3 linked regions of the Danio rerio genome follow. The protein of the gene in region 2 interacts with the protein of the main gene of each other region in a biochemical or structural test. Links are inferred from orthologs where the notes say so. Each region holds a gene or a part of one and is shown on either strand. Other genes may lie near its edges.

Evidence for each region. The genes of interacting proteins can lie anywhere in the genome.
Region 1: the proteins of myod1 (region 2) and cdk4 form a complex in vitro, tested with the Homo sapiens proteins (2 studies listed by BioGRID). The link is inferred for Danio rerio from reciprocal best matches to the Homo sapiens genes MYOD1 and CDK4.
Region 3: the proteins of myod1 (region 2) and csrp3 form a complex in vitro, tested with the Homo sapiens proteins (2 studies listed by BioGRID and IntAct, with this or other methods). The link is inferred for Danio rerio from reciprocal best matches to the Homo sapiens genes MYOD1 and CSRP3.

What each region holds. Positions count from the first base shown.
Region 1 is NC_133186.1:160,363-164,564, reverse strand, and holds the end of cdk4 (cyclin-dependent kinase 4), read left to right. Parts: intron 1-782; coding exon 783-1,000; intron 1,001-1,272; coding exon 1,273-1,408; intron 1,409-2,243; coding exon 2,244-2,411; intron 2,412-2,584; coding exon 2,585-2,694; intron 2,695-2,845; coding exon 2,846-2,896; intron 2,897-2,978; coding exon 2,979-3,114; intron 3,115-3,303; coding exon 3,304-3,378; 3' UTR 3,379-3,510; downstream 3,511-4,202.
Region 2 is NC_133200.1:33,824,430-33,828,793, reverse strand, and holds myod1 (myoblast determination protein 1 homolog), read left to right. Parts: upstream 1-1,485; 5' UTR 1,486-1,664; coding exon 1,665-2,174; intron 2,175-2,461; coding exon 2,462-2,540; intron 2,541-2,722; coding exon 2,723-2,961; 3' UTR 2,962-3,692; downstream 3,693-4,364. UniProt on the Homo sapiens protein: Acts as a transcriptional activator that promotes transcription of muscle-specific target genes and plays a role in muscle differentiation. Together with MYF5 and MYOG, co-occupies muscle-specific gene promoter core region during myogenesis.
Region 3 is NC_133182.1:16,562,233-16,566,055, reverse strand, and holds part of csrp3 (cysteine and glycine-rich protein 3), read left to right. Parts: intron 1-1,383; coding exon 1,384-1,552; intron 1,553-2,244; coding exon 2,245-2,377; intron 2,378-2,598; coding exon 2,599-2,692; intron 2,693-3,823. UniProt on the Homo sapiens protein: Positive regulator of myogenesis. Acts as a cofactor for myogenic bHLH transcription factors such as MYOD1, and probably MYOG and MYF6.

The sequences.
Region 1 (4,202 bases), on a different chromosome or scaffold from region 2:
CGCACAGTGGCCAGCTTTACTGATGCACCAAATATATATATATATATTTACATGTTGTGTGTGAGAAGCAGTAAATTACAGGTCATCATCATCCACCAAACACTCAAATATGGAAAATGTTTAAAAATAAAGTCAATTTTTGACATTTTAGGAAGTTTTTTGTGGGGAAATGTTGTAATGGTGCAGCGCTGGGCAGCAGAAATGCAGTGTTGCTTGCTTTACTGTGTGTGTGTGTGTGTGTGTGTGTGTGTGTGTGTACAGTTTATTTAGATCAATGACAGCCTACATGTCTGTATGTCACACTAATGATCATCAGAGAAGTCTTATATTAAGAAAGAGGAGAATCAAAGTGTGCGTATTAACACACACACACACACACACACACACACACACACACACACACACACACACAGAGTGTGTTCGAGGTTGTTCTGGCTCTAGTGATGGTGATGTGCTTTCAGGCTCTGGGTTTGTGTGTTTGTGGCCTGTTTACACAACCAGCAGCGCCACACAACTGAGCTGTTGAGTAAATGTGGAGAAACTGGTGTGTGTGTGTGTGTGTGTGTGTGCAGGTTTGTCTTAATACAGCTAAAACTGATGTTTCTGTCTTACAGCAGAGTCACACACACATACTGACAGCAGTGTGTGCACATGTACAGGTGTGTGTGTGTGTGTGTACAGGTGTGTGAGCGTGTGTATGTTTGTGCAGGTAATGATGCCTGCAGAGGAACTTGTGTGCGCGTGCATCAGGTGATGGCACAGTAATGTGTGTGTGTTTGCAGATGGCGCAGGAGGTGGGGCTGCAGTATGAGCCAGTAGCAGAGATCGGGGGCGGGGCTTACGGGACCGTCTATAAGGCTCGGGATCGGGACAGCGGGCAGTTTGTGGCGCTGAAGAGCGTTCGGGTGCAGACCAATCAGGACGGACTCCCACTGTCCACGGTTCGAGAGGTGGCTCTGCTGAAGCGCCTGGAGCAGTTCGACCATCCCAACATCGTCAGGTACACACACACAGTTACATACACACACACAATCACTGATACACACAATTACTCATGGGCACACACACACACACACACACACACACACACACACACACTGATCTCCTTCAGAACTGTAGTAGTTCTGCAACTGTTTGTTTGAGGTTCTTGTTTTGCTGAAAGATCTCGTAATCTGTGTGTCGCGTCCTCTGTGCGTGATGACGGGGTGTGTGTGTCTATGATCAGGCATTTTGTAAGTGTGTAATCTGTGTGTGTGTGTGTGTGTGTTTCAGGCTGATGGACGTGTGCGCGACCCTCAGGACGGATCAGGAGACTAAAGTGACGCTGGTGTTTGAACATGTGGATCAGGATCTCAGGACATACCTGGAGAAAGTTCCAGCACCGGGACTGCCTGTGGACAAAATCAGAGTAAGACACACACACACACACACACACACACACACACACACACATGAATATTTATTGTTTGACCAATAGTTCAGTTATATTGTGGGTTAATTGGTCAGAGCGGGGTCTTCTCAGCTGAGCGCATGCCATGTATAAAGTAAGCTGTGTCAGTGTAAGCGGGGCCTGAGTGTGTGTTGTTTGCGAGCGGGTTTGTGAGTATGTGTTGTTTGCGAGCGGGTTTGCGATGGGGGCGGGGCGGGGTGGAGGATTGGCGATGCCGGCTCAGCATCGTGTTGTCTATCGGCCATCGGTGATGAATGATGGCATCATCTGTATAAACGTGGTTGAGCTCAAGCGCATCAGATGAACAACCAATGAGAAGAAGAGGGCGGGGCATGCCAGACAGGAGAGAGCGTGTGATTGGTCAGGATATTTGATGAGAAACTGCTGTATGAAGTGATGTGCTTGATCCATTTAGGCGGACGAGACAAACTGCAGACGTTCTATCTGCTCAATGTGAATGTCGTCTCTGTTTCTGGATATTATAGATATCAGCACGACTAACACACTGATGCTCACATTATTTCAATATCACAGGGCCTTCATAATCCTTTATAAAGCATTACAGCATGCTTTAATTGTATTTATTAGACAGCTGTCTGGAGGGCTGATTGGTCATTTCTGACACTTCAACAGTGTGTTATTCCCTGATAACACCTGCTGAATAACATGGAGAGAGAGAGAGTGTGTGTGTGTGTTCTGCAGGTCCTGATGCAGCAGTTGTTGTGTTGTCTTGCGTTCCTGTAATGTGTGTGTGTGTGCGTGTGTGTGTGTGCGTGTGTGTGTGTGTGTGTAGGACCTGATGCAGCAGCTGCTGTGTGGTCTGGCGTTCCTGCACACTAATCGAGTTCTCCATCGGGATCTGAAGCCGGAGAACATCCTGGTGACCAGCAGAGGGCAGGTGAAGCTGGCGGACTTCGGGCTGGCGCGCATCTACAGCTGCCACATGGCACTGACCCCGGTGGTGAGACACTCACACACACACACACACACACACACACACACACACACACACACACACACACACACACACACAGAGACACACAATGTCCTGTGAACACACTGCTGACACACAAATACTGATGTGTATGTGTGTGTGTGTGTGTGTGTGTGTGTGTGTGTGTGTGTGTGTGTCAGGTGGTGACGCTGTGGTATCGCTCTCCTGAGGTGCTCCTGCAGAGCACATACGCCACACCAGTGGACATCTGGAGCACCGGCTGCATCTTTGCCGAGATGTTCAGACGCAAGTGAGTCTCAGCAGAGTGTGTGTGTGTGTGTGTGTGCGTGCGTGCGTGCGTGCGTGCGTGCGCGTGTGTGTCAGCGGCTGCAGATCTGCTGCTGTATGTCCTCTGGTTTGTGAGCTTGAGTTGATGATTCTGTCCTGATTCTCCTCTTCAGGCCTCTGTTCTGCGGAGATTCAGAGGCGGACCAGCTGGGGAAGATCTTTGCGTATGTCAAACACACACACACACACACACACATTCACACAGAGAGATGAGGTGTGTTATTGACGGATCAGTGTGTCCCTCAGGGTGATCGGTCTGCCGGCGGAGGATCAGTGGCCCACAGACGTCACTCTTTCCCACCACAACTTCAGCCCTCAGAGCCCTCGGCCAATCACAGACTGCGTTCCGGACATCACAGAGAAAGGGGCGGAGCTATTGCTGGTACGTTTACACACACACCGACAGATAACCCTGAGCACAACACACACAGCTCAGACGCAGGGCGCTGTAGGAGAGAGTGATGCTGCATCGGTCACCTGGATCTGCTGACCGCTCGTGTTCAGCAGGAGATGCTAAACGCATGAGTGATGTGAGAGACGCGCTGACAGCTCTGTGTTCTTGTGTTGACAGAAAATGCTGACCTTCGACCCGCTGAAGAGGATCTCTGCGCTGAACGCTCTGGATCATCCCTTCTTCAGCGAGTGATGCTGCTCTACACACACACACACACACACACACACACACACACACAAGCCAGCAGACTGAAGATAAACATTCCCTGAGTGTGTGTGTGTGTGTGTTCATCTGCTCTGTGATGAAGAGGAGCTTAAATCAGGGGTGTCAAAGTCAGTTCCTGGAGGGCCGCAGCTCTGCTCAGTTTAGTTTTCCCCTAATTAAACACAGCTGATCACACTAATTGAGTCCTTCTGGCTTGTTTGAAAGCTCCAGGTGAGTGTGTTGGAGCAGGGCTGGAGCTGAACTGTGCAGGGCTGCGGCCCTCCAGGAACTGAGTTTGACTCCGCTGGCTTAAAGGGTCAGTTCACCCACAAATCAACATCTACTGGCGCTTATCTCTCCCTCAGGGGGTCTGAAACCTGTTGGAGCTTCTCTCTTCTGTTCAACATGAAAGAAGATATTTGGAAAAATGTTGTAATTATTGACATCTAAAGTAGGAGAAACAAATAGTATATAAGTCAATGGTTGCTGGTGTTCAACATTTTTCTAAATATCTTCTTAATGTTTAACAGAAGATGGGTTAAAGACCCCGTGAGGGAGAGATAACCCTAAGTAGATGTCGATTTGTGGGTGAACTGACCCTTCAGTGCTCGTTCTCCATCAGTGTGATGTTATTAGTGTTCACAGAGGAGGATCTCTGCATGACGATCATGCTAAACAAACTGCCCATGTGACGAGTGAGGGAGTGAGTGAGGGAGGGAGTGAGTGAGGGAGTGAGTGAGGGAGTGAGGGAGTGAGTGAGTGAGTGAGGGAGTGAGTGAGTGAGGGAGGGAGTGAGAGAGTGAGTGAGGGAG
Region 2 (4,364 bases):
TGATAAAAATATTCATTTTCGAGATAGGGTGTATTAACTGTATTGTGTGACTGATTTTATTCTGCACCGGTTTTAATAAACATGTTTACATGCCATTTTGTATTTTCTATTAACCCTGTTTTTTTTAACACTATAAAATGAAACAGGGAATTTTATTTTTTATATAATTGTGTCGGTTTTTCAATTATTACTTTGCTGTAGTTGTTATTCAATACATATTTAAATGTATTTTTTATTATATAAAACATTTTGCTGATCCAACTTCAGCAGCATGGATTCTGGCTAAAGACGTATTTGGGGCTTTTGAACAAAATAGTAATTTCATCTGGCTCTTTAACGCCCCCTTTTGTTGGACTGTTATTGAGACTGTCAAGCAGCCAGTGTAAAGAAGGCTAAATAAAGTTGGCCGCATTAAGAATAAATTCTTAAATACATTTTCTTTACCTGATAGACTGATCGTGGTAAATAACCAAATACATTAATCATAAAGTGTCCATTCACTCTCAGAAATAAAGGTACAGGAGCTGTCACTGGGGCAGTACCTTTGCAAAAGATACATACTTGTGCCCAAAGAATCCACAATGGTACCTCAAATGGGGCATATTAGTACGCAAATGTACTTAAAACGCACCCATGAGATACCATTATAAAGCCTTCAAGTGCAAATTTGTACCTTTTGAAAATGTACTGTGACAGCTCATGTTTTTTCTGAGATTGTTGGAAAATAAAATTGAAATGTAATTGCGATTTCTTTACTAAATTATATACGTTTAATGTTGGCTTAATGTAGTTTTCCTTCAGTGTTTCATTAAAATATTTCATACCTAAATTGATCAAGCAATCTTTATCTGTACATTTTGAACACCATGAACTGAAAAGCATGCATAATGTTATTCTGAATTTTTAAACGTGTGAATGTGCGTGTGTATTTAAAAGTAGCTAATTATTGCTCACATTTGTTTGACATTTTCAATGCCGCGCTATGAGGGAAAAACATCCATAAAACAATAAAAACAAAACTAATAATAATTAAAACAACATTTTAAATGTTTGCATTCTCGTATTATTTCTGTTACAAATATATTAGACTTATCAAATTCAGCACTAGTAAATTATACAATTAGAAAATGTATTAATTAGAAATTAGAAACCAATTGGTTGTTTTTTCCATTAACAAGCAAAGTTAAAAGCAAAGCTCATGCTTGAATTTATTTGTAAAGTTGAAATTTGATGGAAAATAAACAAGTAGGCCTAAATGTTAATTTGGTATACAAGCAAATAAAACTTCTATTATTTCTAAGGGAATTTATCATTCTTACATTTTTATAACACAATCATTAGCATCATGCTGTCAAAATCACGCCCCCTTGTTATCGCACATGTTCATTGGTCAGTCTGTCATCTGTAGGACCTCCCCCGACAAGCTGGTGTGTTTATTATCAGGCCCTGATCTCTTACCAGCAACAAGTACCTGAGGGGTACATGCAAAGAAACCCTCCGAGGTCCTGCGAATTTTAGACTGTAGTTTTGAAACGTACGTTATTTCGGGATCTGAAGGACTTTGTCTTACTATTCCTAATTTTGGTTTTTATTTTTTTTACAAATTTACTACTTTGGAAACATTCAAGTACATTTCTTGCTTTTTAAACTTTAACACAAAAAAGATGGAGTTGTCGGATATCCCCTTCCCCATCCCATCAGCTGATGACTTCTACGACGACCCTTGCTTCAACACCAACGACATGCACTTCTTTGAAGACTTGGACCCCAGGCTTGTTCACGTGAGCCTGCTCAAACCCGACGAGCATCACCACATCGAGGACGAGCACGTGAGGGCGCCCAGTGGGCATCATCAGGCCGGCAGGTGCCTACTGTGGGCATGCAAAGCTTGCAAGAGAAAAACTACCAATGCTGACCGTCGCAAAGCCGCCACCATGAGGGAGAGGAGGCGACTGAGCAAGGTCAACGACGCTTTCGAGACCCTCAAGAGATGCACGTCCACCAACCCGAACCAGAGGCTGCCCAAAGTGGAGATTCTGAGAAACGCCATTAGTTATATCGAGTCTCTGCAGGCTCTTCTCAGAAGTCAAGAGGATAACTACTATCCCGTTCTGGAACATTACAGTGGAGACTCTGATGCTTCCAGTCCGAGATCCAACTGCTCTGATGGCATGGTGAGAAACTTATTTTATATACTGAGGCTTTTACATACTATAGCTACAGTATAATTGTGATGTCGCTAAGCCATAAGTCGTTTAGTGTTTACTTGGACAAATAAACTTGGACTTGTTTTTTTGCACTGATTTTGTAATTTAGGATAATTCAGCAACATTATTTTTCAACATTTAAGAGAAAGATGGGAATAATTAAAGATCGCTTGTAAATATTTTATCTCTTGTGTTTGCTGATTTAATTTTCTTTTCAATATAAATATAGATTAAAGTGTCTTTTCGTTTCCCAGATGGATTTTATGGGCCCAACGTGTCAGACGAGAAGACGGAACAGCTATGACAGCTCTTACTTCAATGACACACCAAATGGTAAGTTTGCTCGAAAAATAAAATAAAATAAGTTGGCTGAAAAAATGTTTAACTGTTATGCAAAGTTAAACTATTCTTTTGGATTGAGTTTAAAAGTAAACTATTATGTTTCTAAATTCTCATAGACTAATTTTATTTGAGTTAAAAAAATAAAAATCTTTCTGTTTGTTTGTTTTTTCTAGCTGACGCACGGAATAATAAAAACTCAGTGGTGTCGAGTTTGGATTGTCTGTCCAGCATCGTGGAGCGAATTTCCACAGAGACTCCTGCATGTCCCGTGCTGTCAGTACCGGAGGGGCACGAAGAGAGCCCGTGTTCTCCGCATGAGGGATCTGTCCTGAGTGACACCGGAACCACCGCACCGTCCCCGACCAGCTGCCCTCAACAGCAGGCTCAGGAAACCATTTATCAAGTGCTTTAAAATTCTGCAACATTTCAAAACAAATTGAAAAAGACAATCTGAATGAAGAAACTTTCAGCAGAAAAAGGCGAATCCGACCTTTAACGACAAAAGAAAGACTTTTGATCCACTGCTGGAAACTAGGAAAGAATGCTTTCTTTCTTTCTTTCTTTCTTTCTTTCTTTCTTTCTTTCTTTCTTTCTTTCTTTCTTTCTTTCTTTCTTTCTTTCTTTCTTTCATAGACTAATTCTTTTTTTCTTTCTTTCTTTCTTTCTTTCTTTCTTTCTTTCTTTCTTTTTTTCTTTCTTTCTTTCTTTCTTTCTTTCTTTCTTTCTTTCTTTCTTTCTTTCTTTCTTTCTTTATGCGGTGGAAAATGTAATTCCAATATGAGAAAAGACTCAGCAGATCAGCAGAAGTGAGTTTCTTAACTAAGCTTATTTATATTGTTATATCCACGTGAAAATGTGACCATATTTTTTTCCCTTTGTGAATATATTTTCTGTCACCATCACCTTTTATTTTCCTAATTATTTACGGAAAAAATCGTAATCCAGATACGAATAGTAGGACCATTTTTGTATATGTGTAAATAAGATCTGTTTTGTTAAAGCGACGAAAACGAACAAACATATTATTGTATTTAATGATGCCTGTTTGAAACACTAGTTTGTTGTGTCTTGTGTTAAACTTTATATTTATACTTCTTAAACGAGTGAATGACGGATAAATAAAAACAACTATTTATACTGGAATATCTATGTGATTTGTTGTGATTTATTGGATGTATAAACATTTAGCCTACTGTACACGTGATATATCAATTTGTTGAAATCAAATCGGTTTAGCGTTACACAATAAACAGGCCTGTACAATTTAGATTTATTTATACCTTATTTCACGAGGTTGTAGCTAAAAGTGATATCACAATAAAAAAAAAGTACGCAATTGAAAAATAAGATTATAATCGTTTACATGTTGTTCTGAAACCATTCGAGTTGCAAGAACAATTTAATGCTCCTCAGTATTTGTTTGATTATTATTGCATCTGAATCAAAATAATTTAATCAACTAGCCTTTTATTACAACACAAAAAGGTGTAATAGATTTTTATTTATGTTGAACTGAAGGGAATAGGCATTTTCAAAGAAAATGAAATGCTTGGTCTCTCTTTTTTACATTTCGATGCTTAACCATTTTCATAAAATGATTACGCGTCAAGCAGCATGAATATGTTTAATTCAAATATACAGACCTTTATATTGCACTAACTAAAGTACCAAACGTATGTTTTCGCTGTGATAAAATAGCAGAGCCATTTTAAAAACAATTCTATGAGGTTTATGAACATTTGCAAAATATAAATATTACCACTTTCATTATAAAGAAACTTTTTTTTATTGAAAGTTCTCACAGATTTAGATCTA
Region 3 (3,823 bases), on a different chromosome or scaffold from region 2:
AATGAAGGTTTTGAATCACTGAGAAAACTCAGATTTTCATTAAACTGGAAATCCCAGAAATGTTGTTTTGCTTATTTATTTATTAGTTGTAACTTAAAAAAAACATTTCAAAATATTTAAATAAGTGATTAAATAAATAACATAAAATCATTAGTTATAAACACAAATCAATGTGTAAATAAATAAATATATTATAATTAAAATGTGAATTCACTTGTATTTTGCATTGTTTTAGTTCAATACAAAACATTTGATTACAAATGATATCATAATTTGACTGAAACACGAAAAAGCAGAACAACTTGATAATTACAGCTGTTTACAGTTGATCAGACTGCGTATTACAGACTACAAATTACCTGATGAAAAATGTCAGAAATGTAATCTAGATTACAAACTATAGATAAGGTAATCTAAATGACATATTAGAAATAGTATAATTTGACTCCCCTTAAATTACTTTAGACTTGCTTATTCTGTTTGTTTATTTAATGGTCTCCAAATTCTGAAGATTGGATTATAGATTTTATTTAGCCTTTATATTTTGTTTATTTATCATTATATATTTTTTTTCAATTTATTATCTTTTGTTGAAGCCAAACAACAACAACACTAATTGTGAATCAAGAAAATACAAATAATTTACTTCACTAATATACTGTGTATATATACTGTATATATATATATATGTGTGTGTGTGTGTGTGTGTGTGTTGAAGATTTCAACACATTTCTAAACATACTAGTTTTAATAACTACATTTTTAATAACTGATTTCTTTTATCTTTCGCCATAATATTTTACTAGACATTTTTCAAGATACTAGTGTTCAGCTTTAAGTGCAATTTAAAGGCTTAAATAGGTTAATTAAGCAAGTCAGGGTAATTCGACAAGTCATTGTATAGCAGTGGTTTGCATTGTGGACAATAAAACAAAATGCTTAAGGGGGCTAATAACATTGACCCTAGGCTAATATGTTTTTTATTTTTTATTATTAAAAAACGGCTTTTATTCAGGAAAAATATCTAGTATCCAGTTAATATTATTTAAAGAAACTTCTATAAAGCTTAGTGACATTTAAAGGCTTAACTAGGTTAATTAGGTTAACTAGGCAGGTTAGGGTAATTAGGCAAGTTATTGTATAATGATGGGTTTGTTCTGTTGACTATCAAAAACATATAGCTTAAAGGGGCTAATAATTTTGACTTTAAAATGGCTTTAAAAAAATTTAAAACGGCTTTTATTCTAGCTGAAATAAAAGTAATAAGAATTTCTCCAGAAGAAAAAAATATTATAATACATACTGTGAAAATTTCCTTGCTCTGTTAAACATCATTTGGTAAACATTTAAAAATGTATATATGCATGATTTGTTTGTTTTTAGTGGTTTGTCGTAAAGGTTTGGACAGCACCACAGTTGCCGCACATGAGTCTGAGATATACTGCAAAACCTGCTACGGCAAGAAATATGGTCCGAAAGGTTATGGGTATGGCCAGGGTGCTGGAGCTTTGAGTTCTGACCCGGTCAATAATGAAGAACTTCAGCCTCAAGAGTACGTCCTCAAAATACACTCATAATGTTGAACGTTTTTTGTTATGCATGAACTGACTTTTACCAAGTTTTAAGGACAGATTTATACCCTTAATGCATGTTCATATGCAAAAATCATTTTACATTGATTACACTGAGATGCCAATTTTTATGAAGGATACAGTACATACAGTGCTCAACATAACTGACTACACCCGATTTTGAAAATGAATATTTTTAACCATTTCTCAGTGAATATAGGTCATATATTTTGGTGTATTTGAACAAAATAGATTTACTAAACCAATACATTTATTCAAATAATATTTTAGTCACCGAACATCTTTAGAAATGGAAAGATAATACATTTAAATTCATGCAAAATAAAAAAAAAAATGACAAACTACAAAAACTCAACAAAATTTTTTTCTCTTGAATGTTTTTTTTTTTCGTATACATTTGGGCTACTAATTTTGGACCGTTATCATGAGTTATTTTGTTAGATTAGCTTCAGATTTGTATATACTGTATACTTTAAAATGCGTGTATGCTAATGTATGAATAAAAAAAATGAAGTACTCCTCTGTCTTAGGGTTGGACTTGTGCTATCGGACACTAGCTGTATATGAAATCTTAAGATGTCCATATTTAGATAACCTGTATGTGTGTGTGTGTGTGTGTGTGTGTGTGTGTGTGTGTTCTGAACATTTTAAGGCCCAAAGCTCCACGTCCTGCACCTGCGAACTCAAACTCAAGCAAGTTTGCGCAGAAGTTCGGGAGTACAGATCGCTGTCCTCGCTGCTCTAAAGCTGTTTATGCAGCGGAGAAAATCATGGGTGCTGGAAAGGTAAAACCACTGCAAAAATTACCCTGAGAAGCTGACGCTGCATTAATGCTACAATACACTGCTAAAATATGAAATATATTATTAATAAACCACCTAATCTAAATACGTAGCAGATTCTGAGAAACTGTTCCTCCTCAGCACTTCTGCAATATGCTGCTGTCACAGGTCAGCGCTGTGTAAAGTAGTAATTCATCAGTCTGTACCTGCTTTTGATCCAACAGCCCTGGCACAAAACCTGCTTCCGCTGTTTATTGTGCGGGAAGAGCCTGGAGTCCACCACCGTGACGGATAAAGATGGAGAGCTCTACTGTAAAGGTACAATCAATCAAAGGAAACTGCTCAATCTCATTAGTATCACTTAACTGATCAATAGATGCTGTTTCAAAGACCTAGTTAATGTTCAACAGCCATTACAGCACAACTGATGCAATCAACAGCTCAAATACTGTAGCCGTGTGAATAAAGGGTTAGTTCACCCAAAAATTTAAATTGCGTTATTAATCACTCACCTTCATGTCGTTACATTCCCAAGACCTTCATTCATTTTCGGAACACAAAGACATTTTAGATGAAACCTCAGAGCTCTCTGACCCTCCATAGACATCAGGGGTCCAGACAGGGCCGGAGTGGGACTCCTTTTCAGCCCTGGAGTTTCAAGCCTCAGAGCGGCCTACCTCAGTTCACGACTGACTATATTAAAATAAGGTCATTCCAAATCAGTTTCTAATTACACTATCACGTCTTTTTTTGAGAAAAAAGCTGCTTTAGAACTTCAAATGTTCAACAACCCTAACATTATTATATGTCTTAACAATAAAAAAAAAAAAAACATACTCAGACAGGGATTAAACCCGGGTCGGCAGCGTCATAATCTAACATGCTAACCACTGGACCACAACAGTTGTATATTGAGATGTGACCCATCGGAGTTATATCATCATTATACATAAAAAGAGCAGAGCTGCGGTTAAATAATGAATAAGAAGACTGTGGTCAAGTAAATAAATAAATTAATTTAAATTAAGTGTGACTGCTGAGAGCAACAGATTCTGGAGCTAGGGACAACGGCCCTCGCGGCCAAAAAACGGACCGGCCCACCGGGAATTCTCCTGGTCCTCCCGATTAGCCAATCCGGGCCTGGGTCCAGAGATGTTTTAAGTTCAGAAAAGGAACCAAAGATATTGCCGAAACATTCCATGTTACTTCAATGGTTTAACTGTCTTCATAAAAAGCTCCATAAACACCTATGGGCCAAGCGGCAACCTCCTGCTCTCACTTGTGAAGCTAATACGGAAGAAGCTGAATTTGCAATTCATCAACTGGCCTCTGGGGGCTGGCTCCAAAACAGAGCGAATTGACATCAATTTTAAAATGCCCAACTTTACAGCAGAAATGTCCATATTTTTTACAGTCTATGTTTTATTCGCAAAAAAACAAACAAACCCC